Linked DNA regions of Stegostoma tigrinum. The protein of the gene in region 1 binds, or shares a complex with, the protein of each later gene. Links are inferred from orthologs where the notes say so. Each region holds a gene or a part of one and is shown on either strand. Other genes may lie near its edges. The genes, in order: ras-related protein Rab-7a, pdzd8 and rubcn.

What was found.
Region 2: the proteins of ras-related protein Rab-7a (region 1) and pdzd8 are in contact, whole or in part, in a crystal structure (PDB 7F6J), measured with the Homo sapiens proteins. The link is inferred for Stegostoma tigrinum from reciprocal best matches to the Homo sapiens genes RAB7A and PDZD8. Residues at the interface, in NP_004628.4 of Homo sapiens: Lys10, Leu14, Asp16, Ser17, Lys38, Ile41, Gly42, Ala43, Asp44, Phe45, Gln60, Trp62, Gly66, Glu68, Arg69, Phe70, Gln71, Ser72, Leu73, Gly74, Val75, Ala76, Phe77, Tyr78, Arg79, Thr98, Ser101, Trp102, Glu105, Phe106; in NP_776152.1 of Homo sapiens: Ile999, Lys1000, Leu1001, Val1002, Arg1003, Lys1004, Glu1005, Gly1007, Leu1008, Asp1009, Asp1010, Phe1013, Ile1014, Lys1017, Gln1044, Leu1051, Asn1054, Asn1055, Val1058, Leu1077, Leu1084, Gln1085, Thr1088, Ile1092.
Region 3: the proteins of ras-related protein Rab-7a (region 1) and rubcn are in contact, whole or in part, in a crystal structure (PDB 6WCW), measured with the Homo sapiens proteins. The link is inferred for Stegostoma tigrinum from reciprocal best matches to the Homo sapiens genes RAB7A and RUBCN. Residues at the interface, in NP_004628.4 of Homo sapiens: Ile41, Gly42, Ala43, Asp44, Trp62, Gln71, Ser72, Leu73, Gly74, Val75, Ala76, Phe77, Arg79, Ser101, Asp104, Glu105, Ile108, Gln109, Ser111; in NP_055502.1 of Homo sapiens: His818, Asn821, Met822, Lys824, Thr825, Arg827, Leu883, Gln885, Ala886, Lys887, Gly888, Phe889, Ile890, Glu892, Gln895, Glu897, Ile900, Pro903, Cys915, Lys916, Arg931, Arg934, Arg938.

The regions. Positions count from the first base shown.
Region 1 is NC_081364.1:4,087,791-4,099,005, forward strand, and holds the start of ras-related protein Rab-7a, read right to left. Parts: upstream 4,582-11,215; 5' UTR 4,415-4,581; intron 1-4,414.
Region 2 is NC_081373.1:19,477,011-19,487,255, forward strand, and holds the start of pdzd8 (PDZ domain-containing protein 8), read left to right. Parts: upstream 1-5,565; 5' UTR 5,566-5,730; coding exon 5,731-6,545; intron 6,546-10,245. UniProt on the Homo sapiens protein: Molecular tethering protein that connects endoplasmic reticulum and mitochondria membranes. PDZD8-dependent endoplasmic reticulum-mitochondria membrane tethering is essential for endoplasmic reticulum-mitochondria Ca(2+) transfer.
Region 3 is NC_081367.1:48,820,170-48,830,872, forward strand, and holds the start of rubcn (run domain Beclin-1-interacting and cysteine-rich domain-containing protein), read left to right. Parts: upstream 1-6,494; 5' UTR 6,495-6,663; coding exon 6,664-6,731; intron 6,732-10,703.

The DNA.
Region 1 (11,215 bases):
CACCTATCTTCTCTCCATCTTTGGTCCACCTCCCCCTATTTATTCCAGAACTCTCACCCCATCCCCCTCTGATGAAGGGTCTAGGCCCAAAACGTCAGCTTTTGTGCTCCTGAGATGCTGCTTGGCCTGCTGTGTTCATCCAGCCTCACATTTTGTTGTCTTAGATTCTCCAGCATCTGCAGTTCCCATTATCTTGGATAAAGAGACTACTCACCCTCTACCATGCCTTAAATTTTAAAGGCCAGGTCACCCCTTCAACCCCTAGTGAAAACATCCATGCTGGCCAACAAAAGCAACTCCCTTCTGAAATTAGGCTTTCATCTGGCTTAGCCAAGATATCCAAATTGCTGATCTCATTCCTCATACTTTTGGAAAGTTAGGAAGGACAAGTACCAGGACAACAGTCATGGCTGGAAGCAACAAGGAAACAGGATGAAGTCAGTTCCATGACAGTTGCTCTAGAGGCCAGCTGAATCATACTGGATACCCAAGTGATGAGTTATTGTGATCTTCATAGCAGTTAATTCCACTAATTCTCACCTGCACTTGCTCCCTCAACCACATTTCACTCAAGCCTTTCTACATCAGTCCTCATGAATGATATCATTTGAAGTGGCAAGCAACTGAGAAATCTAACAGTTCAAACGTTTTTTAGTAGTCTGCCCTCCTCTGAGGGAGATGCTCTAGATCAGTGTTCATGTTCAACCAGTCCTACTGATATCATACACAGTTGATTCACTTTAAAAGTGAAATTTTAGACTGCATTACCTTCCTTCTAATGGGTTAGAGGGCATCAAAGTGTGGAGCTGGATGAACAGAGGCCAAGCAGCATCAAGGACCACAAAAGCCAACATTTTGGGTCTAGACTGATTGTGGGGGGTGGGGTGTGGGGTGGAAGGGTTCTGAAATAAATAAGGGGAGGTGGATCACAGATGATAGAGAAGATAGTTGGACAGGAGACCAACAAGTTAAAAGGGGTGGGGGTGGTGCCTGTAGAGGTGCGTGCAGGTGGGGAAGGTAGGGAGGGGATAGGTCAGTCTGGGGAAGACAGACAGGTCAACAGGGTGGGATGAGGCTAGTAGGTAGGAAGTGGCAATTCAGCTCAAGGTGGGAGGAGAGACACGGGGGGGGGGGGGGGAGGAAGAACAGGTTAGGGAGACAGGGGAGATTGAAGCTTGTGAAATCCACATACCATTGGGCTGCAGGGTTCCCAAACAGAATGAGCTGCTGTTCCTGCAACCAAGTGGCATTGTTGTAGCACTGCAGCAGGCCCAGGATGGACATGTTGTTGGGGACTGCTTTGCAGAACATGTGCTCAGGTTTACAATAAACCACTGCACCTCCTGGTCATGAGCTATTTCAACACCAGCACATGCGCACTCTCTCCCACCCCCCCCCCCCCCACCATGTCTGCTTGGTTCCCCCAATGTAGAGGCAGCCACACCGGGTACAGCAGATGCAGTATATCACATTGGTGGATGTGCAGGTGAACTTCTGCTTGATGTTGAAAAGGGGCCTGGGATTGTGGGGGGGGGGGGGGTGGCAAGTGTAGCATTTCTTGTGGTTGCAGGAGGAAGTGCCAGGTGTGGTGGGGCTAGAGGGGAGTGTGGACCTGACAAGGGAGTCACAGACAGTGGTCCCCCTGAAAAACAGATCAGAGTAGGGATGGATGAATGTCTTTGGTGCTGGGGGTCAACTGCAGATGGCAGAAGTGGAGGATGATGTGTTGGATTTGGAGCTTGGTGGGGTGGTACATGAGGACAAGGGTGATTCTCTTTTGGCAGTTATTGCAGGGACAGGGTGTGGTGGGGGGATGAGTTACAGGAAACGTGGTCAACAGTGTTAGAGACTACTGCAAGGGGAGGGGGGGTTGCAGTCCTTAAAGGGATCAGGTGTACAGGAGTGGAATGCCTCATCCTGGGAGCAGATGTGGCAGAGGTTTAGGAATTGGGAAAGGGATGGAATTTTTACAGGAAGGTGGTGTATTCTAGGTAGCTGTGGAAGTCAGTGTGCTTGAAATGGATATCAGTTTCTAGGTGATGCCTGAAATGGAGACATAGGTCCAGGAAGATTTTGGGGGGGGGGGGGAAGAAGAGAAGAGAAGGATCAATGTGTTGGAGATGGCCCAGGTGAACTTAAGGTTGGGGTGGAAGGTGTTGGTGAAGTGGATGAACTGTTTGAGCTCCTCAAGGCACAAGGCAGCACCAATGCAGGCAGTCAGTCAGTGTAATGGAGGATGAAGTGGGGTTTAGGGCTAGTGTAGGTACAGAAGAGGGATTGTTCCACATAACCTACAAAGAGGCAGGCATAGCTTGGGCCCATGTGGGTACCCATGGCCACCCCCTTTGTCTGTAGGGGGTGGGAGGAATCAAGAAGTTGAGGGGAGGACAAGTTTGACTAGATGGCGGGGGGGGGGGGGGGAAGAAGGAGGAGGAGAGGAGACTGGTCAGGCCTGTGGGACAGGAAGCAGAGGGCCTTCAGGCCATCTGCATGGGGAATGCCAGTGTACAGGGACTGGACATCCATGGTGAAAGTCAGGTATCCAACTCACTTTCTCATGAAGGGTCTAGGCCCAAAACATCAGTTTGTGCTCCTCAGCCTGCTGTGTTCATCCAGCTCTACACCTTGTCATCTTGTCGTCTCCAGCATCTGCAGTTCCCATTACTGCACTTTCAATATTACAGCTCATTAAGTCCCATGTTGCTCCCTGACCTAAACATTCCAATAACAAAAAGGACCCAGTTCTGAAAAACCCACCAGTAAGCTGAGCAATTGGTCCCTAACTAAAAACACCCTGCCACTAGATTACACAACCTCAAACTTGAGGAAACATTATTCCATAATCTCTTCACAGAAGAGATCCCAGGCAGAGCAGCAATACAGTTACACTTAGTAAACCATACACTTAATCACTGACAATTTCTACATTGGAAAAAGAATCTGAGTAGGTCTAAAGTATTTAGATTGAAAAAGACAAGCTAGCACATGTAAAAAGGAGGAGTCATTTTATCATGTCATAGGATGCAGCACCACATATGCCCAAAGGGGGCAGTTCACAAGAAAACACCCTTGGCAACATCTGAAGTTTATATAAATAAAGTGTTCATGTCTGTTTTTCAGGAGTGCAATGACAAGTCATGTGTTTCATCAGCTGTAAGAATCACGAGGAGCAGGTTTCTTGGACTTCGAGAAAAGCAACAATTTACAAACTCAACCACCCACCACCTCTCTCCCCCAACCCCCCCATTGGACAGAAACTACATCATGATACCTGTTTCACAACAATGCAGTTCACAGTTAGATCATTTGGCTGTCCATCATACAGACAGCTCAGGCAAGTCGCATTTTTAAATGCGCGTTGACGAGAAACTAGATCAAAATAAGACACTACAACTGGAGTGGTGCTGTGGCATTAAGCCTCGTTTGCTCTAGTTAGGAAAGTATTACTGAAGAAACAAGCGTCTTAGAAACCCTATTTTACTCGCAAACAAAAATCAAATCACTCGATTTATTACAGAGCTTCCTGAACAACAAGCCTTGAAACTGGCAAACAATGCCACAACATACTTTTATCTGCAACATTAAATAGAAACATGAAAATTTTAGCGATATTAAAAGTGAAACCAGCTCAAAGAGCTTAGTCACCCCGAAGACTAGAGACAAAGGAGCCAGGTTTGAAGTTTCCACAGGCTCTCCACATATACAACACAGCAGCGACGGCTCAAAACAAGCGTCACTTGTCGTTGGAAGGGGGGGTTAATAGCGTTCTCGAAAGAGCCCAGACAGCTACGTGAAAATCTAGTGTTAGCCCTAGCTTTAGGGAAAGCCGCTCACAACAATATAAAAGATGCATCCCACTGAAATTAAAAAATCCACACAAAATCTAAGCGGAAAAATGCGAAGCCAGCATTTAAAAAACACATTTGAAGAGAACTGAAAGCAAGTGTAACACGTACACCGTGTCATTCAGTAATTATACTGCGTTTTGCGCTGCACAGGTTATTAAATTAGAAAGAGAAAGGAGGGGAACAACTCCCCAGCGGGATGCTAATGTATATTTGATGTAGCACAGATGCTACTTCGCCAGGACTGCCAGGGCCTGAAGGGGTGCGAGTTCCTGTCACTCGCAGGGGTGTTGCCAAGGGGCCCGGGGGCAGTTGCTAGGGCTCACCGCTTTCCCCACACGCTGGGGCATCAAGCACGGGGGGTGTCGTTGCTAGGAAGAGCCCGGGGACGGTTGCTAGGGAAGGGTGCGCGCAGGGCCGGGAGCGCGGCCGCTGGGCGGACCCTGGGCCCTGTGTGTCTCTCTCCGAGATCGAGGCCTCCGTTGTTTCTCTCCTTCCTCCTCTCCCAAAAGCGCTTTACACCCGCGGGCAGAGCGGCCTACCAGTACCCGGCACCGAGTCAGACTCACCTGAAAGGGCAAGGGAGGTTGAGAAAAGTCAGCTGCGCGGCCTACTGCCGGTCTTGCTCGGTAAGTCACTGGCTTGGCTGGGCCGGGCCGCTCCTAGCTGTCGAAGCTTTGCCTCCGACTCCCCGCTTATCACCCGCACCCTGCGTCTGATGTCACCGCGTATTACGTTTCGGCGTATGGCGTCACCCCCGCAGGACCGCCCGCTGCGTGACTGCCATGTGGGGGGTGGGGGCGGGTTCGAGTACGACCAACCTTGCCGGGTCCTAGCGCCTGCCAAACGCGGGACACGTTACTGTTGAGGGGGAGGCTGGGGAGTCGAGTGTGATCTTAAGACAGGTCTTAAGGATTTAAACCATTGAAACGGGCTGGGGAGTGTTGATAGTAAAACAGAGATTTGTGGATGCTAAAGATCCGAAACAGAAACAGTAAGTGTTGGAGAAACTCAGCTGTTCTGGCAGCATTGGAGTCCAGAGAACGTTTTTCAGAACTGAAGTTGCTGAGTTTCTCCAGCAATATCTGTAATTGTTCCAGACTTCCATCATCCGTGGTTCTTTGTTGCATTTTAGGACCTTGATGACCTTAGACAGTTTGGGAGTTAAATTCACACTGATTAGTGCAACACAAAGCAGCTGTCCAGCCAACTGAGCTGAGTGCTGGAGAACCTCAACAGGGCTGGCAGCACTTTTGGAGAGAGAAACGGTGTTAACATTTCAAACCTAGTATGATTTCTTCAGAACTAAAGTAACATTCAAGGTTACAGGCCAAGTGCTGAAAAATGGGATTAGAATTGATTGGTGTTTGATGACCAGTGTGGACGAAATGGGCCCAAGGGCCTCTATCGGTGCTGTCAAAACGCCATTATTCTAGGTTCAGCAAACGGGAAGGCATACGGTATGCTGACCTCCATGGATGAGGATTTTGGTTCAGAAGTACGAATGACTTACAGGGCCTACGTGAGACCACATCTGGAGTATTGAATGCAGTTGTGTCTCCATAACTACTAAAGAATAGCGGGAATGCGCAAAAGGTTCACCAGGCTGATACCAGGGTTAGCAAGTCTGTCCTGTGAGGAGAGATGACTCAACTAGGCCTGTTGTCACTGCAGTTTAGAAAAATGAGAGGGAATCTGATTGCTAAAATTCTAACAGGGCTAGAAAGACCAGATGCAGGGAGAATGTTTCCCCTGTTTGGGGAGTCTAGAACTACAAGCACAGTTTGGGAGTGAGATGGGGAAAAATTTCTTCACTCAAAGAATGGTCAGCCTGTGGAATTTTCTACCACAGAATGCTTTCGAGGCGAATTCAGTGAATATTTCAAGAAAGAGATGGATACATTTTTAGATTTTAAATGCTTCAAAGGATGTGGGGAGAAAGCAGGAACATGGTATTTAGGATCAGCCATGATCATATTAAATGGCAGAGCAGACTTGAAGGGCTGAATGGCTTACTCCTGCTCCTCGTGACCATGCTTTTATCCATCCCTCCCACCCTGGTTATAATCTCTTCCAAGCTTTTCTGTAAGGCAGAAGATACAGAAGTTTAAACACATGTACCAACAGGTTTATGAAAAGCTTCTTCCCTGTTGCTATTTGGCTGCTGCACAGACCTCTCAAGTTTCACATCTAATGTTAATCTTGCTTTTGTACACTTCCTGTGCAACCATAACTGTGTACACCTCCGTGTATTCAATCTCCCTATGATCTGTATGTCTTTGTATGTTATGATCTGCCAGTTCTGCATGCAAAGCAAAACTTCTCACTGTACTTAGGTACATGTGACAGCAATAAATCAGATCGAAGGTTACAGTTGGTGTGTGGAAGAGGGATAAGAAGTGGGACTGGCTAAGGTAATGTAAGGAGAAGCAGGCTTAGAGGGGGATTTGTGAAAAATGCTTTTCACTGAGAGCATGTAGATATCTGGAACTCACTAATGGTCCTGGGCGAAAACCAGAAAAAGGGATTTAGCTGGCTGGCTCCTTTCCCACTTATATCACCTCAAAAGAGACTTCATTGGCTGTAAGTTTTTTTGAGTACTTTAGTGGATGTGAAAGGTGCTGTTTGTTAGGATGTATAAGTTTGTGAATGATTAGAATTGGAATATGGACATGCATGGACATTTCTGGATTACAAAGGATTTATAATGTGACTATTTAGAACTAGGAAGGAAAAGAGCCAACGGAGGCAATGATTCAGCAAAGAACTGCGGACACTAGGGATGTGAAACATACTCAGAAAATGCTGGAGAAACTCAGCAGGCCTGGTGGCATCTTTGATGAGAGAAACAGAGTTAATGTTTCAAATCCAGCGAATCTCCTTCAGCATCTGGGAAAGTGTTACTTATTTTGATGACAGGGCTTGAGTGAGGCTGGCGGGTTCGGCGTGAGCAAGTTGGAAGGAGTGATCGGAGATAATGGGAACTGAAGCCGCAAAACAATCCGACCCCAACACCAAAGACATTTTTCCATCCCCACCCTTGTCTGCCTTCCGGAGAGACCACTCTCTCCATGACTCCCTTGTTCGCTCCACACTGCCCTCCAACCCCACCACACCCGGCACCTTCCCCTGCAACCACAGGAAGTGCTACACTTGCCCCCACACCTCCCCCCTCACCCCTATCCCAGGCCCCAAGATGACATTCCACATTAAGCAGAGGTTTACCTGCACATCTGCCAATGTGTTATACTGTATCCGCTGTACCCGGTGTGGCTTCCTCTACATTGGGGAAACCAAGCAGAGGCTTGGAGACCGCTTTGCAGAACACCTCCGCTCGGTTCGCAACAAACAACTGCACCTCCCAGTCACGAACCATTTCCACTCCCCCTCCCATTCTTTAGATGACATGTCCATCACGGGCCTCCTGCAGTGCCACAATGATGCCACCCGAAGGTTGCAGGAACAGCAACTCATATTCAGCTTGGGAACCCTGCAGCCCAATGGTATCAATGTGGACTTCACCAGCTTCAAAATCTCCCCTTCCCCCACTTCATCCCAAAACTAGCCCAGCTCGTCCCCTCCCCCCACTGCATCCCAAAACCAGACCAGCTTGTCCCCGCCTCCCTAACCTGTTCTTCCTCTCACCTATCCCCTCCTCCCACTTCAAGCCGCACCTCCATTTCCTACTTACTAACCTCATCCCGCCCCCTCGACCTGTCCATCCTCCCCGGACTGACCTACCCCCTCCCTACCTCCCCACCTATACTCTCCTCTCCACCTATCTTCTCCTCTATCCATCTTCAATCCACCTCCCCCTCTCTCCCTATTTATTTCAGAATCCTCTCCCCATCCCCCATCACAAGGAAGAGGTATTAGAAATCCTTCAGAGGGTGAAGATAGATAAGTCCCCTGGGCCGGATGAGATTTATCCTCAGATCCTCTGGGAAGCCAGGGAGGAGATTGCTGAGCCTTTGGCATTGAACTTTAACTCGTGATTGTCTACAGGACTAGTGCCAGATGACTGGAGGATAGCAAATGTGGTTCCCCTGTTCAAGAAGGGGAGTAGAGACAACCCTGGTAATTATAGACCAGTGAGCCTTACGTCAGTTGTTGGTAAAGTGTTGGAAAAGGTTATAAGGGATTGGATTTATAATCATCTAGAAAAGAATAAACTGATTAGGGATAATCAGCACGCTTTTGTGAAGGGAAGGTCGTGCCTCACAAACCTTATTGACTTCTTTGAGAAGGTGACCAAACAGGTAGATGAGATTAAACCGGTTGATGTGACGTACATGGATTTCAGCAAGGCATTCAATAAGGTTCCCCACAATAGGCTATTGTGCAAAATGCGGAGGAATGGAATTGTGGGAGATATAGCAGTTTGGATCAGAAATTGGCTTGCTGAAAGAAGACAGAGGGTAGTAGTTGATGGGAAATGTTCATCCTGGAGATCAGTTACTAGTGGTGTACCACAAGGGTCGGTGTTGGGTCCACTGCTGTTTGTCATTTTTATAAATGACCTGGATGAGGGCGTAGAAGGATGGGTTAATAAATTTGCAGACGACACTAAGGTCGGTGGAGTTGTGGATAGTGACGAAGGATGCTGTAGGTTGCAGAGAGACATAGATAAGCTGCAGAGCTGGGCTGAGAGGTGGCAAATGGAGTTTAATGCAGACAAGTGTGAGGTGATGCACTTTGGTAGGAGTAACCGGAAGGCAAAGTACAGGGCTAATAGTAAGATTCTTGGTGGTGTAGATGAGCAGAGAGATCTCGGTGTCCATGTAGACAGATCCTTGAAAGTTGCCACCCAGGGTGACAGGGCTGTTAAGAAGGCATACAGTGTTTTAGCTTTTATTAATAGAGGGATCGAGTTCCGGAACCAAGAGGTTATGGGAGGGGGAGTGGAAATGGTTCGCAACTGGGAGGTGCAATTGTTTGTTGCGAACCGAGCGGAGGTGTTCTGCACAGCGGTCCCCAAGCCTCCGCTTGGTTTCCCCAATGTAGAGGAGCTGTACAAAACTCTGGTGCAGCCGCACTTGGAGTATTGTGTACAGTTCTGGTCACCGCATTATAAGAAGGATGTGGAAGCTTTGGAAAGGGTGCAGAGGAGATTTACTAGGATGTTGCCTGGTATGGAGGGAAGGTCTTAGGAGGAAAGGCTGAGGGACTTGAGGCTGTTTTCATTAGAGAGAAGAAGGTTGAGAGGTGACTTAATTGAAACATATAAAATAATCAGAGGGTTAGATAGCGTGGATAGGGAGAGCCCTATTCCCAGGATGGTGACAGCGAGCACAAGGGGGCATAGCTTTAATTTGAGGGGTGAAAGATATAGGACAGATGTCAGAGGTAGTTTCTTTACTCAGAGAGTAGTAAGGGAATGGAACGCTTTGCCTGCAACGGTAGTAGATTCGCCATCTTTAGGTACATTTAAGTCGTCATTGGATAAGCATATGGACGTACATGGAATAGTGTAGGCTAGATGGGCTTGTGATCGGTATGACAGGTCGGCACAACATCGAGGGCCGAAGGGCCTGTACTGTGCTGTAATGTTCCATGTTCTATGTTCTATCCCCCTCTCTGATGAAGGGTCTAGGCCCAAAATGTCAGCTTTTGTGCTCCTAAGATGCTCCACACTTTGTTACCTTGGAAGGAATGATCGGATAGGTGGAAACAGAGTCCTGAGAGAGATAGAAAGAGAGAAAAAGTTAGGCACTCAACAAGATTGTTGACATGAAACCCCAAGAAGAAGATTTGCTGCTGCTGATTATTTGAAAATGGGTTGGCTATGTTGAAAGCAGCCCATGTGATGACAGGGCTGGGGGTGTGGGGGCGGGGCTGGTGGTAAAGGACATTGAAGACAGTGCTCAGGCCCTAAAATTATTGAATTTCTTACTGAGACCTGAAGGCTACAGGGTCCCCATGCGGAAATTGAGATGTTGTCCTTCTAGTTTGTGCTGAGCTTAGCTGGGGCACTGCAGCAAGCCCGGGACAGCGATGTTGGCCAGTGAACAGGGTGGTGTGTTAAAGTGGCAGGCACCTGGAAGCTTGGATAGATTTTTATGGACAGAATTTGGGTGTTTTGCAAAGTGGTTGCCGAGTCTACATTTCATCTCCCCAGTGTAGAGAAGACCACACTGTGAGCAGCGAATACAGGAGACCAGATAGTGTGAACTGCAGGTGCTGCTTCACCTGGAAGGTGTGTCTGGGGCCTCGGATAGTAGGAGGGAGGAGGTAAATGGACAGACTTTACACCTTTTGCGATTGCAGGGGAAGGTGCAATGGGGCTGGAGGAAGATGTTGGGAATGGATGAGGAGTGGACAAGGGTCCCTGCGGAACAATGACAAAGGAGGGGAGGGGAATATGTGTCTGGTCGAGACATCCTACTGGAGGTGATGGAAATAGCACATAACAAACCTTTGGATGGGGAGGTTGGTGGGGTGGTGACCCCAGGGGGACCCTAACGATGTCGCGGGAGGGAAGAGAAAGGGGTGAGGGCAGTTGTGCAGGAGATGGGTTGGACACAGCTGAGGGGACCTGTTAACTACGGGTGAGGGGGAGTCACAGGAACATGGGAATTAGGAACAGCAGTAGGTAACTGAGCCTTTCAAACCCACTCCACCATTTAACCATAATCATGGCCGATCTTGTCCTGACCTCGACTCCACTTTCCTGCCTGGTCCCCCCTTTTCAACAGAAACATAACTATTTCTTTCTCAAATCTAATTCCACCTCCACTGCACTCTGGTGGAGTGAGTTCCACAGATTCTCAACTCTCTGAGAGAAGTAGTTCCTCCTGATCTCAGTTCTGAGCAAACCTCCTCTCGCCCTATTTCTATGACCTCTTATTATAGACAGTTTCACAAGGGGAACATGTGTTGATAAACCCCCTTCCAGCATTTTATATCCCTCAATAAGATCCCCCACCCACCCCCCACCCATTCTTCTAAACTCTAACAAGTATGAGGCCAAGCTGTTCAACCACTCCTTGTATGACAGCCCTTTCATCCCTGGAATCAACTTGGTGACCCTCCTCAGAACTGGCTTCAGTGTCACCACACCCTTCCTTGGGTAAGGAGGCATCCTCGGAAAAAGATGGACATTTCTGAGGCACCCTGCGGAAGGTGGCATCGTCAGAACAGCAGGAAATGGAATAACCAGGAGACTGTGATCTCTTTGCTGTTTACAAACAGCATACTTTTCATTTTCAAACATCCAATGTTTTCTGCTGATCGCCAGCTCTGCGATGGAAAGTGCGCGTCGCAGTGTATTTTGAAAGGAAGAAGTGTCAAGATTTCTCCAACGTCTTTCACAACCTGAGGTTGCCCCAAAACACTTCACAGTGCGGTCACTATTGTAGAAGATCAACATT
Region 2 (10,245 bases), on another chromosome or scaffold:
TTATGTTGCGGTAAATGAGATCAATGGCATTGAATATATGCTGGTGTTTAGTACCTTATAATCTCCTGGTTTCAACCACAACTTTGTCAGCTGTGTTGCCAAAGCAAACTGAAGAAAACCAAGTACTTTTAAAGATGAAGCTAACATTATACTCGGAAATCATAAGGGAGTATAACTTGTTTTCTATTTAGTAATCTTTAGGTTTAGACTTTGTTTCTTGCACTGAGGCCCTGAAAAGTGTTGCAGAAAATAGAAACCTAACACAGGGTTCAGGAACATAATTCTTTGAAATTTGCATCACATGTAGACAGGATAATTAAGAAGGTGTTGAGCACACTTGCCTTCTTTGCTCAGGCCTTTGAGTATAGGAGTTGGGGGTGTCATGTTAAGGTTGTACAGAAGGTTGGTGAGGCCTCTTATGGGGAACAGTGTGCAGTTCTGATCGCTCTGTAATAGGAAGGCTATCATTAAAGTGGAGAGGGTTCATAGCAGATTTATCAGGATGTTGCCAGGGATGGAGAGTTTTAGTTATAAAAATAGGCTGGAACTTTTCTCACTGCAGCATAGGAGGTTGAGGGGTGATCTTGTAGAGGTTTATAAAGTCATAAGGGGTATAGATAAAGTTAATTGCTTTTTCCCCTAGAGTGGAGGAGTTATTAACTAGGGAACATATTTTTAATGCGAGAGGAGAACATTTTAAAAAGGACACGAGGGGGCAACTTTTTCACGTAGAGAGTGTTTCATGTGTGGAATGAACTGCCAGAGGAAGTGGTGGATGCAGGTACAATTGCAACGTTTAAAAGACATTTGGATACAGACACGAATAGAAAAGATTTGGAGGGATATGGGCCAAATACAGACAGGTGGGATAGTTTGGTTTGGGAAACTTGGCTTGCGTGGCCTAGGATCACAGAGTCATACAGCACAAACCCTTTGGTCCAACCAGTCCATGCTGAACATAATCTTAAACTAAAGTAGTTGGACTGAAGGCTTTGTTTCCATGCTGTATGACTCCATGAAATCTGTTTATGTTATCTTCACAAATAAACATACATACTTATTTAAAGACACCCTCGTTCATATTGTTTCTACTGTTTAAAATGATCATTGTGTAAAACTGCAGTTTTTCAACCTGGGAAAAAGGGCTTCAGAACAAAATGCTCAAATATAATTAAACATTTTACTTCAATAGTAAATTAAAAATATGCACTAATGTCATTGCTAATGCAAATAAATCAAAGGAGTTTGTCTCTGAAGATACCACCAGACTATTGGAAATTTCAGTGGATGGCACATGATATTGTTGCTGACATGAGCAAACATCTGATGATACAGACCAAAGATATGTCAGGATTAATAAAATAGGAAGTACATGAAATGAGTGAGAGATAACAAAAGCCATTGACCACCCCTTTCCCAAAATTGATTCTGTAGTGATTGCAATAAGGTCAGCCAAGTGGACCTCATAGAATATGAGTTTCATGATTGGGGTCGTTAAGCTGGTGCAATCAGGGAGCCCTGGCAGGGGTCCTGCCCTCTCTTAGAGCCAGCTCTAAGCTAGCTTGGTCAGTGGCACGTACTATGTATGTGTAAATAAAGGATGACTCGGTGACAGGGTATTGGCCTTTGTGGAGTTATTTCACGTTCCTTTTGCTGAATACATTTCCAAAGGTACTGAATGCAATCTGTCTGTTTAATAAATCATTGCCATGATTACATGCATTCTATAAAAATCTACTTTTCATGGTAAAATAATATTTAAATAATATCACCTCAAATTTTTTGTCAGACATTACCATATAAGAATGTTGCAATAACACTTTCACAATTTATTTTAACACAAACTGCATCCAAATGAACAAAATGGCTTGCTGGAAATTATCTGGAGAAGAGAGCTCCCGTTAGAGGATCTTACATTTGATCAACAAAGTTTGATTATAATTTACTGAGCGGTATCCATATTATTAATAGGACAAATGCAATCCAATGGCAAAACAGAACTTTTGCATGAGTGTATTATTTAAACCTAAGTTGAGTAAGAATATACAGGACCCAAATAATTTTGCCAGCTCTATATCATATATATATAATATACATAACTTCTTTCCACAAAGTAAAGTAGCAGCTGAAAAATAAGTTGTTCTGATTGAAGTACTTGAACATTAAAAGCTGCAGAGTCACACCGTGATGCACTAAGTATGGATCACAGACATTTTTCTTTTTTTTTAAAGAGAAGCAGAAATAAACAACTCCTCAAAAGAAGGTGTTTCAATTTTGTAATATGCCAGTCTTCATACAATTTCACCAACTGCACATGACACTAAGAAATGTTTGCTGGCACAGAATGGCTAAAGACCCTAACAACATTTGGCCAGCTTGCTGTCCCCCTAGATAAGCTTTTCCAGTTCAGCTAAAGCAGTGGTATCCATCCAACAGGGTGAATGTTTTTCTTTGTTATTGCTTGAAGAGAAAGTGGGTGTCACTGGCCAGGTCAGCATTATTGTCCATTTCTAATTGTACTGGGGTGTGAGCTGCTTTCTTGAACTGCTGAAGCTCTTGGTATGTTAGTCCACAAATAGCAGGAAATATGCAATTCAGTCAATTCCTGCTCGATCAGTCTACTTTCCATTATCAGTAATGTGTGGGAAGTCTTGTCAACAGTGTCATCAAACAACACTAGCACCATTACTACCTGCTTGCTGGTGCTCAGTCTGAGTTCCACCAGGACTACTTGTTTCCTGGCCTCATTAGAACTTGGTCCAAACACAGACAAAATAAGTGAACTCCAGAAATGAGGTGAGGTGAGTGGGATTGCCCTTGACATCAATGCAGTCTTTGACTTAGTGTGGCTCCAAGGCTGCCCAGCAAAACAAAGCCAATGAGAATCAGGGGATAAATTCTCTACTGGCTTAGTAGTATCTAGCACAATGTGAGATGGTCAGCATTGTTAAAGGTCAATCGTCTCAGTCCCAGGTTATCACTGCAGGAGCTCCACAGGGTGGTGTCTAAGCCTAAATATCTTCAGCTGCCTCATCAATAATCTGTCCTCCATCATGAGGTTAGAAGTAGGAATGTTTGTTGATAATTACAGAACTTTCAGCACCATTTATGCCTCCTCAGGTATTGAAGCAGTTTGGGTTCATGTTTACTGGACAACATTCAGGCTTTCACTGATGAGTGACAAGTAACATTTGTGCCACAGAGCTACTAGGCAATGGCCGTTTTGAAAAAGAGACAATCTAGTCATCTCACAATGACATTTAATCAATCCCCCACTAACAACAGCTTGGAGAATGTAAATTGATCAGTTATATAAATACTATGACTACTATAGCTGTTCAAAGGCTGGTGAACACATCTCCTGAATCCCAAGCATGTCCTCCATATTTAACTCAAGAGCATGATGAAATACTTCCCATGTGTCAGGACGAGTGCATTTCCAACAACACTCAAGAAACTTGACACTATCCAGGACAAGGCAAACCACTGTCTAAAGCATTGAGATACAGAAGCACCAGAAAAATTGGCAGCATTACATACATATTAGGGGAGGCGATGGCCCAGTGGTATTATCGCTGGACTGTTAATCCAGAGACCCAAATAATGTTCTGGGAGTTTGGGTTCGAATCTCACCATGGCAGATGGTGAAATTTGAATTCAATAAATATCTGGAATTAAGAGTCTAATGATGACCATTGTCATCCATTGTCCATTGTTGGAAAATCCCATGGGGTTCACTAATGTATTTTAGGGAAGGAAACTGCCATTCTTACTTGGTCTGACTCCAGACCCACAGCAAAGTGGTTGACTCTTAACTACTCTCTGGGATGGGCAATAAATGCTGCCTTGCTAGCAATGCCCTCATCCCACGAATAAATAAAGGATATACAAGATGCACTACAATAGCATATTTCAACCTGTATTCCCCTGCCGCCTATGGCCTCTATGATCTCGGAGATAAAGGGCTGCAATTTGTAAGTTGCCCTCCAAACCACCAATTGTCCTGACTTTGAATTACATTGCCATTCTTTCAATGATGCTCAGCTAAAATCCTGGGACTTCCTTTGTAAGAGCACTGAGGGTATACCCAATGTCTTCCCACCACAGGCTGCTATGATTTACTACCTGCTTCTCGGGGCAATTAGGGATGGGTAACAAATGCTAGTCTAGCCACTGATGCCCTATATCCCGTGACTGAATAAAAAAAGTTACCATTTGTTTGATAACCTGATTAAAGATGCAGTTCATATAGCCTCCCTATAATCATCTCTTTTGCCACTCGATAATAATCGCGCACCAGAACACAGGTTGAACACACCAAAGTTAAAAGAAACTGAACTGGCTGCAGTTCCAAGAAAATCGTGTTTATGTTTTGGGATGTCACTGCGTAGACCCTAGATGATTCAGAACCGTTGCAAGTGCGTTTATCCAGTGGCTAGCACGTCATATTCCAAACTTAAGAAAGAAACGCATTTTTGAAAATTTAAATTGAAGCGCCGGGGCGTCAATTGAAATGCAGGTGTAAGCAGAGAGCTTTCCGAAAAAAAAGCCGTCTCACATAGTAAAATAAAATTAAAAGCAGAAACTGCTGGAGGAACTCGGCGGGTCTAGCAACATCTGCAGAAAGAGAAAAACAGAGACAACGTTTCGAATCCGATATGACACTGCAGATGCTGCCAGAACTGCTGAATTTTGTCAGCACTTTTTGTTTTCGTTTCAGATTTCCAGCATTTTACTCTTATGTTAACATAAACTTATAACAATAAACAGTGCAGATTTAAAATGCTGGGGTCTTTCCCTTTGCTCTCATCAACCTCATAAAAGTGCATTCTGTAATCGCTTTTTGTGCTGCAACTTGCAAGTCAGCTGGAGATTGTCATCTGGGAGTCACTGTCGAAAAGGCTAGTGGCGGGGGAGGGAGCTGCAACGTTTACAGCGGCAGAGATAGAGCTTATTCACATGTGGCCATATTAGAAAGCCGCATTCCCGGCGAAGGGAAGTGGGGAAAACATTGCTGCTTTCCCGATTCGGGACTGGCCCCAAACTCAACGAGATTCCGAAATACTATTCGAGGTGCTGGGAACTTCCGTTTACCTTTTGAGTAAAATGCCCATGTTATTGTTAAAGAATTAGGTTGATTTATTGGTCGGGAGAAGTTGATTGAGAACAAAAGTCATTTTAAACAAATTATCAATCATGGGAAAGAGAAAGATGTTCATTTTATTGTTAAAGAAATGTTGATTGGGAATAGAAGTAAGTTTTACCATGTTCTGCTATGGTAAAGACAGAAAGAAATACAGGGATAATGGGAACTGCAAAACGAAATACAGGGCTCCGCTTTGCTGATGATATTCCGAGTGGGTCACCAAAGCAAGGGGGAAAGGGAAGTGGTTTTTGCCTTGAGTTGGAGAAGCTGGTGGGCGGTCCGGCCCGAACAAGGGAGCATTGGCACGCGCGCGCGCGCGCGCACACACACACACACACACACTCTCTCGCACAGGGGAACCTGCGGCGGGGAACGTGGTTTTGCGGCTGCGGCGGGGGCGCGCTGCGTGTGCACGCTGTACGGGGGAAGGAGGAAGAGTGGGGAAGAAGCACCAGCAGCTCATCTCATTTGTATTGCCGGGGATGGGCCATGTAAACACGGAGCAGTGAGAACATCAGCAGGAGGACCCAGAGAGAGAAAAGAACATGGTCCCGAGGTGAAGAAGGAATCTCTCTCTCTTCACCATGATTTATTTAATGCTGCTGTCAGCTCTGGCCGGAGCCCTGTGTGTCCTCCTGCTGCAGATTTTATTGCTGTATCGGAACAAGCCCGAGCCGGTGCCCCGGCATGTGCAGTACGTCAAGCCGGTGGTCGAGCCCTCGCTCAAGGACTACCTGAGTAGCGGGAAGGAACCTCCGGCCGAGAGCTGCCACTTTCTCAACGCCATCTTCTTGTTTCTGTTCCGGGAGCTGAGGGACACCCCGATCGTCCGGCACTGGCTGACCAAGAAGATCAAGGTTGAGTTTGAGGAGTTGCTGCAGACCAAGACGGCGGGCCGCCTGCTCGAGGGCCTCAGCCTGCGCGACATCTCCCTGGGCAACGCGCTGCCCGTCTTCAAGAGCGCGCGCCTGCTGCAGCCGGTCGTGGGCCCCAATCCCGGCCCAGGCCCAGGCCCCGGCTCCGGCTCCGGCTCCCTGGAGGAGGAGGCCGCTGGAGGTGCCGCTGCCGCCGCCGCCGGGGGGATACCCGAGGAGCTCAACTTCGAGCTGGAGCTCGAGTACAACGGCGGCTTCCACCTGGCCATCGACGTGGACCTGGTCTTCGGCAAGTCGGCTTACCTCTTCGTCAAGATGAGGAGGGTGGTGGGCCGCCTCAGGCTGCAGTTCACCCGCCGCCCTTTCACTCACTGGTCCTTCGCCTTCATGGACGAACCTTTCATCGACTTCGAGGTCAAGTCGCAGTTCGAGGGTCGGCCCATGCCCCAGCTCACTACCATCATTGTCAACCAGCTCAAGAGAGTCATCAAGCGCAAACATACTTTACCCAACTACAAAATCAGGTATAGTCACAGTCAGCGACAGATGGCTTAAACTGTGTTCTTTGTGTCTGTTTGTGAGTGGTTGTTTGGGGGTGTGTGGGTGGCGGAGATGGCGGTGAGGTACGGTGTGGTATTATCCTAGCTGCAACTTTCTGCAATACCCAAATCAGAATTAATGGAGTCCTTACTGCATCATGCTGCTTGCGCCCCTTAGTCATCTCTTGGCACAATCTGTAAGTTACAAAAGGTATTTTTACCAGGCTGCTGTGTTATGGGGTTTAAAAGGGAAACATTCGTGAGACGGAAGTATCTCTGGCAAGTCCAGCATGTCTTACCCGTGCCCATGGGAGCCACTTTCGTGATCCAGTGCAATCAACACAGAATAGGTATGCCCACAGTGTTGTTAGAAAGACAGTTGCAGGCCACTAACCCAGTGACCACAGTGGAAACCAGAACATGTGCAGAAACCTATGTGGACGCTGGGAGAACGTGCAAACTCCACACCGACAGTCACCTAAGGCTGGAATCGAACCTAGGGCCCTGGCGCTGTGAAACAGCCGTGCTTATCACTGCACTCAATGATATTTTGATTCTTTGGGATTTTGACATCATTACATCATTTGTTGTTCACAAGTGCGCTTCAGAGGGTAGTTAACCGTCAATCATATTGCTTTGGATCAAAACTCACATGTTTACCAGACTTGGGAAGGACATTAGGATTTCCTTTACTAAATGATTGAGAGTTAGATGGAGTTTGTACTATTAGTTTTATAGTCACCATTATTAAGACCAGATTTTAATTCCAAATTTTATGAATTATATTTAAATTCCACCAGTTTCCATTAGCCTGAGTCTCTTGATTACTAGTTGACTGACATTATCGCTGCACTGCTGTTTTTTCAGTCGAGCTTCTTGATATTGAGGGGTTGCTCAAAATGAAGGAATCCAAATGCACCTCAATAATAAGGCAACCTTTTCCATTGCTGTGTATTATGACTCATGGCCATCTCTATAGTGATGTCATGTTTTGCTGTGTAACTTGTATATTATCGGAAATGTTGTTAACTGCAGTTCGCAGGTTGCTATTACCATCAGCTTCTCTGTCCACTTGATTCATTATAGTCAGGGGAGCTTTATCGGAAAAAGTTCCAGTTCAGGCACTCAAAATGCTGCATCTTTGAAGTTAATATTACGTGAGTGAGGCAGACCAGGTGCAGGTTGAAATAGATTACTTTATTATACTTGTCTAAGCACTGTGACAACTTAGGGCTGGAGAGGTGGGAGGAGAGGCAGCTGGAGTGTTTTGTTTGTCTTATCATTTGTCTGAACTGTTGTAGGTTAGCTCATTTGGCTGGCTTGTTATGCAGCATGATTCCAACAGTACGAGTTCAATTTCCCTACCGTCGAAGGTTGCCATTAAGACCCTGCCTTTTCAATCTTGCCTGAGGCATGGTAACCTTTGGTGTCTCTCTCTCTCTCTCTCTCTTCTCCCCCCCCCGCCCCCCAAATGAGAGCAGCCATGTCCTCTGGAGCGATGCTGACTTTACCATTACAGTTCATCTGAATACTACACCACTGAATTGCAATAAACAAAGTAAAAAGGATGCAGGATTATATTGCTTAAATGGGATTGAGTTTAACTCCTCTCTAGGTAGGTTGAATCTGTGGCTTGTCCTAAATAGATTCTGTTGTTGTAGACACTTCTGATGTCCAGGGCATGAAGGACGTGTTCTGATGTTAGATACACTAAAGGGAAGAGGAATGCTGCTGATCCTCGCTGTGAAGCTTCAGAGCTGCAAAAATCCATTTAAAGTAGGACCCTTTAGCCTTGAAATTGATATGGGGACAGCTTATACTTTGAGAGAAGGTAAATCTGAAACAACGCTGTCAGAGAAAAGAATCAAACATAATTTCATGGTTGTGAAGGGCATCTTTAGTGCAGACATCAAGAAGTAATTCTTTACTATAGATAACTGGGAAAGGATGCCAAAATCGTTGCAGCCAGAAGTTATTAACAAATGATTAGATGGAAGGTTTAGATCAAATAATTTGAAGGGGACTTCAGCTGGTGCAGTTTGTTTCATTCTAAACATGCCTGAATGCAGCACAAAAGTTCTTTATTTGATAAATGGTATAACTGAAGGCATTATTGCTAAGACACAAAGGTAGTTGGAGGGTGGGTTGTTTTGAGGAAGCGGGCAGGCTGCAAAAGGACTAGGCAGGCTAGGAGAGTGGGCAGAGAAGTGGCAGTTGGAATACAGTGTGGGAAAGTGTGAGGCCATTCATCTTGCTCGGAAGAATATAGGCATAGACTATTTTCAAAATGGGGAAAGGCTTCAGAAATCTGGAGCACAAAGGGAGTTTGGAATTCTAGTTCAGGATTGTCTTAAAATTAACATGCAGGCTTAGTTGGCAGTTAGGAAGGCAAATGCAATGTTAGCATTCATTTCAAGAGGGCCAGAATACAAGAGCAGGGATGTACTGCTGATACTGCATGAAGATTTATTCAGACTGCATTTGGAATATTGTGAACAGTTTTGGGCCCCATATTTAAAAAAGGACGTGCTGGCCTTGGAGGGGGTCAGAGGAATTTAATAAGATTGATCCTGGGATGAAGAGCTTGTCATTTGAGGGGTGGTTGAGGATGCTGGGTTCTGTACTTGATGGAGTTTAGAATGATGAGGCAGTGTCTGATTTGAAACTTACCGAATACTTAGAGACTTGGATAAAGTGAACATGGAGACGGTGTTTCCACAAGTCGGAGAGACTAAGATCCGAGGACATAGCCTAGGAGTTAAGGGATTACCCTTTAGAACTGAGGAAGAAATTCTTTTGTCAGAGGGTGGTGAGTCCGTGGAACTCATTGCCTCAGAAGACTTTGGAGGCCAAGTTATTGAGTGTGTTTAAGACAGAGGTAGATAGATCCTTGAATTGTAAGGGGATCAAGGGTTATTGGGAGAAGGCAGGAAAATGGTGTTGAAAAACACGCCAGCCATGATCAAGTGGCAGAGAAGTTTCAATTGGCCGAATGGCCTAACTCCGCTCCCATTCCTGTTTGTCTACTGGTATCCTGACACTCTTTCAATTCAACCACCTATGGGGACTGATTGGATAGTGGAATAAGTACTATTATCGAGCTGAGAGCCAGCCTAGACTGAATCTAGTGTTCCCACAAAAGGTGAGTTAGTCAAACCTAAAATAGTGAAATACTAAACAACTTGGTAATTTATAATTTTTTTTAATGTATATTATGCGCTGTTTATTTGGACATAACCGTTCTATAACAAAACCATCCCTGCACCTGCATGCTTCTATCACGAGAGATATAAAACAGGGATTCTTTTTCTATTTAGACCTGTGCTATTACTAATGCACCCCAAGGGGAATCCACCTTGTCTTGACTTGCAAAGGGTATAGCTCTGGGAGATGAATTGCTTCTCAATAACGTGAAGGCGACAAATGATTGGTTCTTGAAATGGATTTTTTAAAAAATCACATGGATGTATTTGAGTGTCTACTGACAGGTCATTGCTGAGATTCATTGATTGAAAATGTAAGATTTTCAAGAACAAGCAAATGTTTGATTTTGATATTTAAGTTCAAAATGTAAGCTATTTGTTTCCATATAAAATGTAAACACTTTGTGTGGGAGGGGAGTGGTCTTTGACAGGAGTGCTAAATGTGAAAAAGCAAACCAATGTCCCCTTTATAAAAAAACAGA
Region 3 (10,703 bases), on another chromosome or scaffold:
CAAGCCTTTGCGACATAATTTGGACGCTCCCATCCCTCATTTCTTCCTTTAGGCAGTCCTTCTGCTACCCGTCCCTGATCGATTGAAGGATTGATGCAGGAAAACATTTCAATCATACAACTTCACCACCTCCAGGGATTTGGAGACCAAGTCCTCCCTTTGCTTACTTGCACTTATAAACCCTCTGCTGTTGCGATGACAGGACACTCATGTCTCTAAAAGAAGACTCTCGTTGGTACTTCAAAGAACCATTGCAGACTACTTTGTACATTTATACCTCTTCCCAGTATTTCCTGATGGGCTTTCTGAAACAGATGTTCTGTTATGAGCTTGTTCCCTCCATATATTCAAGGAAACACATTATATCATAAGATAGCAAGGTGTAGAGCTGGATGAACACAGCAGGCCAAACAGCATCAGAGGAGCAAGAAAGCTGATGTTTCGGGTCTGGACCCTTTTCTGAAGAAGGGCCCAGACCCAAAACATCAGCTTCCATGCTCCTTTGATGCTGCTTGACCTGCTGTGTTCATCCAACTCGACACCTTGTTATCTCAGATTCTCCAGCATCAGCAGTTCCCACTGTCTCTGAACATATCATATCTGGTTTTAGCCTAAAGCTATGATACTCAGTGCCAATACCTAAGTCCTCAGTAATCCTGGAGTAGCTTCAGCTTTCCTCATACACATTACCAGTTTCAACTCCTCCACCATCCACTCCACCTTGGCTGGCCAGCCTTTCAACTTCATCCACCATGATCTGATGCCGGTGCTGTGGAGTTCTGCTAACTATGACAACAAACCCAAAGATCGTGAATCAGGGATTCTTTGTTTGACTGGCATCAGTCATCACAAACGTGAAGGGAGATTAGGGTTAATGAAGTAAGTATTTGCAGTATTTAGATGGAATGAAACCTGAGGTTTACTTTTGATAAAGAAACCTTTTGTCTGTCTGCTCCTCCTTCCCATGAGACCTCTTTTCCAGAACACACCTTTGATTTCCCCAAAAAGGAACTGTTGAACTCCTCCAGCTGTCTTGCTTCACTGTTACTGCCTACTGTTGGAGATCCTGGCATAACTCCTTCAGCTCCCCCTCTCCACACTTTCTCTTATTGTCACCACCTACTAGTGCAGACTTGCATTCAAAAAAAGTTGTATAGTTTTTGAAATTTTTCAAAGAATTTGCAAATCACTGGCTGGACCATCATTTATTGGCCATCCATACTTGACCTGGAAAATGTGGTGGTGTGCTATCTTCTTGAACCACTTTAGTGCTTGGGTGTAGGGACACCCACAGTGAGAGTAAGAAGGATCTTCCAGGATTTTGGCTCGTCAACAATGAAGCATGAGCAAGCAATGAAAGATGCATGCTTAAAATACACATTTAACTACATTTAAGATGTTCTGGAAAGTTATTAACTTACGATTCACATAACTTGACTTAGAAAAGCTGGTAATATATCACCATCTGCATCAAACCGAAACTAGGATAACCGTCATCACTATTTTAAAATCCAAACCCCGAAACTTGTTTACAATCAGACACTTTACATCATAATACAAAACATAAGTTATAGAGGACACCTGGAAAATGTGTTCAATTTTCAGCACCAATTTTTAGGAAGAACAGATTAGCTTTGAATGAAGTAAATTTACCTCATATTGCACTCCATTAGTTCAATTACGAGGAGAAATTACACAAACTAACGTTGTACTCCCTGTAGTTTAGAAGGCTGTGGGGTGATGTCACTAAATTTTTTGATATATTCAGGGGAATCTGTGGGGTAAATATATAAATTAATGTTGCTAGTTGGGGAGTCTAGGACAAGGAAACAGAGTCTAAAAATTGAAGCCGCACTGAATCATAGAATCCCTACATTGTGGTAACAGAGATTTGGCCCATCATGTCTGCTCTGAACCTCTGAAGAGCATCACTTCCAGATCCACCCGACCCTGACTCTATCCCTGTAACCCTGTATTTCCCATGGCTAATCCACTAGCCTACACATCCTTGGACACTTTGAGCAATTTAGCATGGTCAATCCAGCGTGGATAATCCACCTAAGGCGCACATCTTTTGGCTGTCGGAGGAAACTGGAGCACACAGAGAAAACCAACCCGTCACAAGGAGACTGTGCAAACTCCACACAGACAGTCACCTGAGGCTGGAGTTGAACCTTTATTCTTAGAACTGTGAGGCAGCAGTGCTAAGAAATGAGCCATCGATGTTTCAAGACTGAAGTTAGGAGAACTTCTACTCATGAACATTGAAGAAACTTGGAATTTTCTTTTGCAACACTTATTACAGAAATAACATTTTTATAGCATTCCTTAAGTAATATAACACCTCAAGTCCCTTCTCAGGATCATTATAAAACAAAATATGACACTTAGCCACATAATAAGATATTAGGTCAAATCACTAGAAATCTGGTCAAAAAAGTCAGCTTGGAGAGGGATAATGGGAACTGCAGATGCTGGAGAATCTAAGATAACAAAGTGTGGAGCTGGATGAACACAGCAGGCCAAGCAGAATCTTAGGAGCACAAAAGCTGATGTTTCGGGCCTAGAACCTTCTTCACAAAAGGGGGAGGGGGAGAGGGTTCTTAAATAAATAGGGAGAGAGGGGGAGGCAGATCGAAGATGGATAGACAAGAAGATAAGACAGACAAATTAAAGGGGCAGGGATGGAGCCAGTAGAGGTGAGTGTAGGTGGGGAGGTAGGGAGGGGTTAGGTCAGTCTGGGCAGGACGGACAGGTCAAGGGGGCGGGATGAGGTTAGTAGGTAGGAAATGGAGGTGTGGCTTGAGGTGGGAGGAGGGGATAGATGAGAGGAAGAACAGGTTAGGGAGGTGGAGACGAGCTGGGCTGGTTTTGGGAATGCATTCGTGGAAGGGGAGATTTTGAAGCTAATGAAATCCACTTTGATACCATTGGGCTGCATCTATGCACGAATAGTGATTTAATCACAGTTGTTGGAATATCCATGCCTTATCCATTCAGTTTCAAGAATAAGCAACATCGTCCAGAAAGTTTTTTTAAAATGTGAAGCATTGGAGAAAGAAACATATTTCCCCCATTATTGGAAGTGTGTGTGTTTGTGTGTGTGTATGATTTGGGTGACTTGGAGGGGTAACATTTCTATTTTCATGTTACGAATTGTAAGTGTTAACCAATTCTGTATCATCACTGAATTTGTTTTTAAGATAATTAACAAACAGAAACAAGGAAACTCACCAGACCTGGCAGCATCTGTGAAGAGAAACAGAGTTAACATTTAGAGTCCAGTGACCCTCCTTCAGAAGTAGAAGCAGCTAGGAAAAGGTGTTATTTATGATGATTACAGGGCTGGGGGAAGGAATGACTAAATGCATAGAGATAGAGCCCAGTGAGAGAGGGAATAAAGGGTGGGCAGAGAAAGGGATTGTTGATAGTAAGCCAAGGAAGATGAGAAGGTAGGTAAGTGATGATGTGAACTATGAGTAGATGAAAACGAATTGGCTGTGTTGGAAATAAATCTGGGGTTGCACAGATAGGTAATAAGAAGGAAGGTAGTGTTCATAGTCTGAAATTGTTAAATTTGACGTTGAATCCTGAAGGCTAAGATACCAAACAGAAGATGGTGTTGTTCTTTCAGTGTGGGCTGAACTTTGCCAGAGCACTGCAAGGGCCTGAAAAATAAAAGTTGGCATGGAATTGCATGGGAAGATGTGGGGCGGTGCTGGAGTGGACCTGCGTGTCCCAGAGCGAGTGGTCCCTGCAGGATGTTGACCAATGAGGGGAGGGGAATATGTGTCTGGTGGTGGCATCCTTCCAGGGTAGGCAAAAATGGCAGCTCTTGATCCTTTAGATGTGGAGTCAGATGGTAGTATCCCACTGGGTGAGGCATAAATGCTACCTTTTACCAGCTGCTGCTTGTTCTGAAAAAGGATCACTAGGCTCAAAATGTTTACTCTGTTTCTCTCCACAGACGTTCTCCAGCAATTTCTGTTTACACTTGCTTTAGATCTCCAGCATCTGCAATTGTTTTAGTCTATTCGATGGGTCTTATTGTTCAAAGTCCAATATAGAGAAAGGCTAACATTAGCTATTTTGGGAATTTGGTTAAATATTTTTATTTAATGTTGTGACTGTTGGAGTAGTGAGACAAGAATGACCGTGCACTCCTCCCCTCTCTGTCACAACATAAAAGTGGGAGTTTGTGACATCTAGTGCAGACTATGTTCAACTGGAAGTGGGTAGGAATACGAAGGATAAAGGGAAATACCAGTTTCTTGTGCACTATGTCAAAATAACATAGGCATTTGTTTAGACCTGTCTGGAGGTGGTTACTTTTTCTAATCTCGCAGGAATAAATCTTCCAAGTCAAGGTAATTAGAATGGGTGGACAATTTGAACTTAAAATTAAAAGCAAGGGCTGGAAAAGCACAAGTGTTTGAGATAATAGCACGACATTTGAAACTGGAAGAATGGCAAAGGAAAACATATAGCAGTTCTGTAGAGTTAATGAGAACTCATTTGCCAGTGAAAAAGGGTTGAATAGTAAGTAGAATTCGAATTGAAGGATATTTTGCATTTTTAAGGAAAGGAAAGTACATTTCAGAGAAGTTAAAAAATTAGTCGTAGAATTTAACATGAGGACAAAAGATATTGTTTGAAACTCAAGAATATAGACCCAGTTTCCACAATCTCTCATAAAGCAATCCACTGTTCCAAAGATTACTCTGGCTAACCTTTGTTGCCCTCCATTCATGGTAAGCATATATTTCCTTGGTTAAATTAACCAAAATGGTATATCATACTCCAAGTGAGGTCTCACAAAGGTTCTGTACAGCAAGATATCTTTTCTTCTATACATAAATTTGTTTGAAATTAAGACTGCCGTACGATTTGCCTCCATAATTACATGCACACCTGCATGCTAGATTTTAGTGACTCAAGGAAAAGGACACCCAGATCCTCTTGCACAGCACTTTCCAACCTCTCACCATTTAAAAACAATTCTGCCTTCTTTTTCTGCCAATGTTAATAAGTTACATTCCATCTATTCTGCAGTTGGCTGAAGACAGACATGTTACCCAGTGTACAAGTAAGCCCTCTGCTTCAGCAGTGTTACAGCTCAACTTCAACAATTTCACCTATTCCATTTTGATTACACCCTTACACAGGGAACAGCTGAACTGGATAGTATTTTATGTTCTATAAATTCAGAGAATCCCTACACTGTAGAAACAGGCCCTATGGCCCAACAAATCCACATCAAACCTCACAGCATCCCACCCAGGCTCATCCCCCATTACCTACCGTGGGAGTAAACCCACACAGACATGGGAAGAGATAATGGGAACTGCAGATGCTGGAGAATTCCAAGATAATAAAATGTGAGGCTGGATGAACACAGCAGGCCAAGCAGCATCTCGAAATCTCTGATGAAGGGTCTAGGCCCGAAACGTCAGCTTTTGTGCTCCTGAGATGCTGCTTGGCCTGCTGTGTTCATCCAGCCTCACATTTTATTATCTCAGACATGGGAAGAATGTGCAAACTCCACACAATCACCTGAGGGTGAAATTGAATCCAGGTCCCTGATGCTGTGAGGCAGCAGTGCTACCCACTGAGCCACACCATTCTGGCATTTGATAGAAAAAAAATAAGAACTATGGTAGGTTTGGATTTGACCGTTAATGGCTTGACTATTTCACACAAGGAACAGTTCTAGAATTCTCCCCTACTCAAGAGTGTGGACGGTAGCTAATCGAAAATTTCAAACCTTAGAGCAATAGCCTTGAACTATCAAAAACATCAGTCAAGAACTGAACGTGGATAAAAATCAGTTAAAGATGAGCCATAATTTATTTGGATGATGCAGCACATTCTTGCGGTTGAATGATTTTGCATTCTTCAGTTTGCCAATCAAGACATCTAGTTCAAGAGTTTTCGCTTTATTAATAGTCTCAGGCAGTTAAAAGTGAGTGATGCGCAGTTTATAGCCTACAGCTCAATGAATGTTTAAACCTATCTGTTAACGGCGTCCATATTAGCCCCGTCAGATACGAATGGCACACTTCATACAGCATGTTGGCCATGTTTGTGTCCGGAAGCCGGTGTCTAACACACAGCGAAACAGGTTCGCGCCAGTGGAAGGGAGAGGCGGAGCAGTTGCTGAAGCCAGCTGGTTGGTATCCTGAGCGGTTACCATGTGAGAGATTGGGCCTGAAGGCAAGGCGCTCTACACGCGTATCGGGGGACGGTATTAGCTGGTGTGCGGCGGGGTCCGATTCAGGATGAGGGACCGGCTGGTATCTGCTAGATGTTCAGGAAGTGGCATTAGCTGGTATCCGGTTGGAGGTGAGGTTCCGGCCGCGATCCGTGGAGGCGGCGTTTTATGTCAGCGCTGGAGGTGGGGCCTGGCACGAACTGCTTTCCGGGTCGGTTACTGGGGCGGTTCAGAGCGTGGTATCACGTGGTGTGTGTGTGTGTGTGTGTGTGTGTGAGAGAGAGGAGGCGCGGGAGGGAGTGGCCGCGGGAAAACAGCCTATGGGTCGCTGCTTGCGACATTGAGAGCTTCGGGGTGCGGTTCCGATGCGCTGTGACGGAATTTGAGAAGCCGCGACGCAGAAAATCGGCATCTCTGGGAATACCCAGAGAGTCGTCTGAGCTGGTGGTGACATGTTGTCAACATGGAGAGAGAATAATTGGCACCAGGACATGGAGAGCGCGGAGGAGGCAGAGTGCAGGTAATAGCCTGAGACTGCTGTGGCCAAACAGAGAAGGTTAAGAGGTGACTTAATCGAGACCTACAAGATGATCAGAGGATTAGATACAGTCGAGAGCGAGAGCCTTTTTCCTCGGATTGTGATGGCTAGCACGAGGGGACATAGCTTTAAATTGAGGGGTGATAGATATAGGACAGATGTCAGAGGTAGGTTCTTTACTCAGAGAGCAGTAAGGGCGTGGAATGTCCTGCCTGCAACAGTAGTAGACTCGCCAACTTTAAGGGCATTTAAATGGTCATTGGATAAACATATGGATAATATTGGAAAAATATAGGTTAGATGGGCTTCAGATTGGTTTCACAGATCGGCGCAACATGAGGGGCCGAAGGGCTGATACTGCATTGTAATGTTCTATGTTCTATCTCAGTGCCCTCGACTTGAGTTTCTTGTTAACTGGCAGCTCCTGACTACAGTTTGGGGTGGGGCTAACCTCTGCCTCTTTGATGACAACAAATCTTGTACAGGACTCTGGTGATACACTGTTGAAGACTGCCTAGTTAACAATTACAATTTATTTAAAAACTTACTTGTAATGATGGGGTGGAGGCTGCTGTAACGATAGGTATTTCTGAAAGGCATTACTAGGCTCCTGAAAGAATATGTCAGTTGTCTTGATGGACAAATTCACAGCACGTTAGTGACCTGATCTGCAAAGTGAGACTGAGTTTTTACAAATTGTGAGACTTGTGTGTATGAATGTAAAGGTATTTTAATTTTTAAGTGTTAGGTCAGTGAAGAATTTTTCTGTACGTGCGTAGTAAAAGTTGAAGGCATAAAGGCAGATAGATGTCTGTGATTTGAATCCTTTAAATTAGTACAGGGAGTAAGGACAGATGATTGTTCTTTCATATGGTTGATGGCAGGAGTATGCTAATGAAGGTGCTACAGCTCACCATTTTGCAGTCACGTTGCAACTCAAAACATGTATTCTGGATATGTCTAATTTGCAAAATGAGTGGTGCCCTCCACGAAAACTGCATCTTCATTTTCAGCACTGATCCCTTTACCTGTACTCGAGCTGTGTGTTTTTGTTTTTGATTAGCTTGAGATGTGGGCATCGCTGGCCAGCATTTATTATCCACCGCTAGTTGCCCTTGAAGGTGGTGATAAGCTGCCTCTTGAATTGTTGCAGCCCATGTGCTGTTGGTTGACCCACAATGGTCAGGGAGGGAATTCTGTTTTTTTTTAACCCAGTGACACTCAAGGAACACTGAAAAATTTCCAAATCAGAATGTGCTAAGAACCAAGACAAGTACAGCACAGGGACATGCCCTTTGGCCCTCCAAGCCTGTGCTGATCCAGATCCTCTAACTAAACCTGTCGCCTGTTTTCCAAGGATCTGTAGCCCTCTGCTCCCTGCCCATTCATGTATCTGTCTAGATACATGGCAACATGTTCCAGGCACCCACCACCCTCTGCATAAAGAACTTGCCATGCATATCTCCCTTAAATTTTTCCCCCCTCACCCTGAAATCGTGACCCCTAGTAATTGACTTCCCCACGCTGGGAAAAAGCTTCTTGCTATCCACCCTGTCTATACTTCTCATGATTTTATGGACCTCAATCAGGTTCCCCCCCACCCCAACCTCTGTCTTTCTAATGTAAATGATCCTAATCTACTCCACCTTTCCTCATAGCTAGCACCCTCCATACCAGGCAACATCCTGGAGAACCTCCTCTGCACCCTTTCCAAAGCATCCACATCCTTTTGGTAATGTAGCAACCAGAACTGTACGCAGTATTCCAAATGTCGTTGAACCAAAGCCCTATACAACTGTAACATGACCTGCCAACTCTTGTACTCAGTAGCCTGTCTGATGAATAAAATCACTAATGAGCGGCGGGTGGCTTGGAGAGGAACGTGCAGGCTCTACTTCTGCCCTGAGAAGGACAATATCGTGGCCCATATGTGGCAGTTGTTTTCCTCTTGAACAGATTTTCTTGCTTTTAAGTGTGATTGTTGATATTAGTATGCTGCTGTAAATGAAATGTTGATTTGGGTTCGAATGGAATAATTCAGGAGCATGAATTAAATATTTTCAGTTTTCTGCACCAGTTCTACGGACAGTTTTAATTGAACATTCAATTTTGAATTGAGCAAATTTGTAGTGCCGAGTTACTCATTGTACAATGCGTAGACTAATGCTAATAAAAACTGTAATAAGGCTGCCCTTTTTAGTAATAAGATATTTACAGTCAGTGAACTTTGGTGTAGTTTGTGCTCCATTTGGATTTACTTTCTGGTGGCGAAAGTGTTTTGCCTACTTTACTTGTTTCCAGTTTCTCTTCTGTTGTTTCTTTAGTTATTTTCGGGTCCTTTTGACAGAAGATACAGAATTTATTCCAGTCCCCTTATTTAGTTTTGCAACTGCATTATCGTGTCTCTGGCAGTATGATTTTTTTCTGCTTAGATTAGCACCTAAATATTGTTGGAGGATCATGGAGAGGAACCCCACATTTCCAGCACTTTGTGAAGCTGGTTTGTTCTAATTCTTTACTTTGGTACATGTCACCTTATTTGTAACAACTGATGTTGCTCTGTTCTGAAAATAACAAGTGGTGGAGATCATAGCAGGTCAGGCAGCATGAAGAGTCATCTGGACTTGAAATGTTTGCTTGTTTTCTCTCCACGAATGCTGCCTGACTTGATCTCCACTACATATTTGTTTTCAGTACAGATTCCAGCAGCTGCACTAATATGTTATTATGTGCTGTTCTTTTGAGTCCTTTCAAGTCCTACCTAGTCTACCCTGCTCCTGTCAGCTAAGTGCAGTCTATTTTTATTGAATCATTGTACTTGTCCAGATATCTTCCCTTGTGTTTTTTGCCTTTTAAGTAGCTTTTTTTAAAGAAAGGGCAGAACAGCGTATTTGGACAACTTTGTATAAAATGTGATCTAGTAACTTTGAGTTTGTGACCGACATTTCTTTGCAATGCTCAATTCATTTTTCTAACCACAGGAAATATAAAAGGTAATTTTCTCTAGCTGAAGTATGTGTTAGTCTTAAAATAATTTATATAGCTGGCGCAAAGGCATGCACATTATTGCCATGTTCTTAAATGGCTGACTGCTTCCCTGGTACAGTTTTTTTTCTTCAGAGTTTGAACTTACTGAAGCCAGAGTGGCTCAGAACCACTCAGCCCTTTCTTGTATAATCTGCAGCTGTTTCTGTTGCTTGTTCTGCTGATTTCCCCAACTGCTTGCATGATTGGTCACACTTCCTTATTATACAGTAAGAATTCAGTTTTTGTATGCCCTCAGAACAATCCTCTCCCTTGCGTAACACGGTCAGCAGTGTACCCTTGAGTCTGATCTACTTTATTTGCATATTATGTACTGTCACTTAACAATATTGTGCAGAAACAGAAATCAGATTTCCTTGTGCGCAGTCAAAGCTGCCTTAACTTTCTACTGTGTCTCGATTTCAAGGTTATCGCTTGAACCTCCATTGCGAGTTGAACATCATTTTGGATGAGCCAAACGACATCTGTTTTGACAAGGGCCTTCACGTTTTTTTTTCTCTAATAGTATATTTCCTTTGCATCTACTTCCTTGTCTAATCTTCATCTTTTCAGTTAATGTTGACTCCTATGATGTAATTGGCTGATGCTGACTTTCTCTTGCACTCACCTCACAGGTCTCCCTGCTTCCACTCTGAATTGTAATTAATTCAGGGTGTTATAACCTGCATCTATCACTACTGAAATCTTTGTATTGTGATAATCTCTGTATTTGTGATACTTTCCTGTGATTCTGTACTCTTTGGACTTTTAATTTGGGAATATTTGCCCTTATTCTTGGAAATCCTTGATAGCCTCATTATCATATGTCAGCATTCAGGCCTATGTTACTGCTTATATACTTCATTCCTCCATCACTTATGTGCTTTTTCATGCATCAGGTTATTGCTTTTTGAATTCTCTTTCAAAATC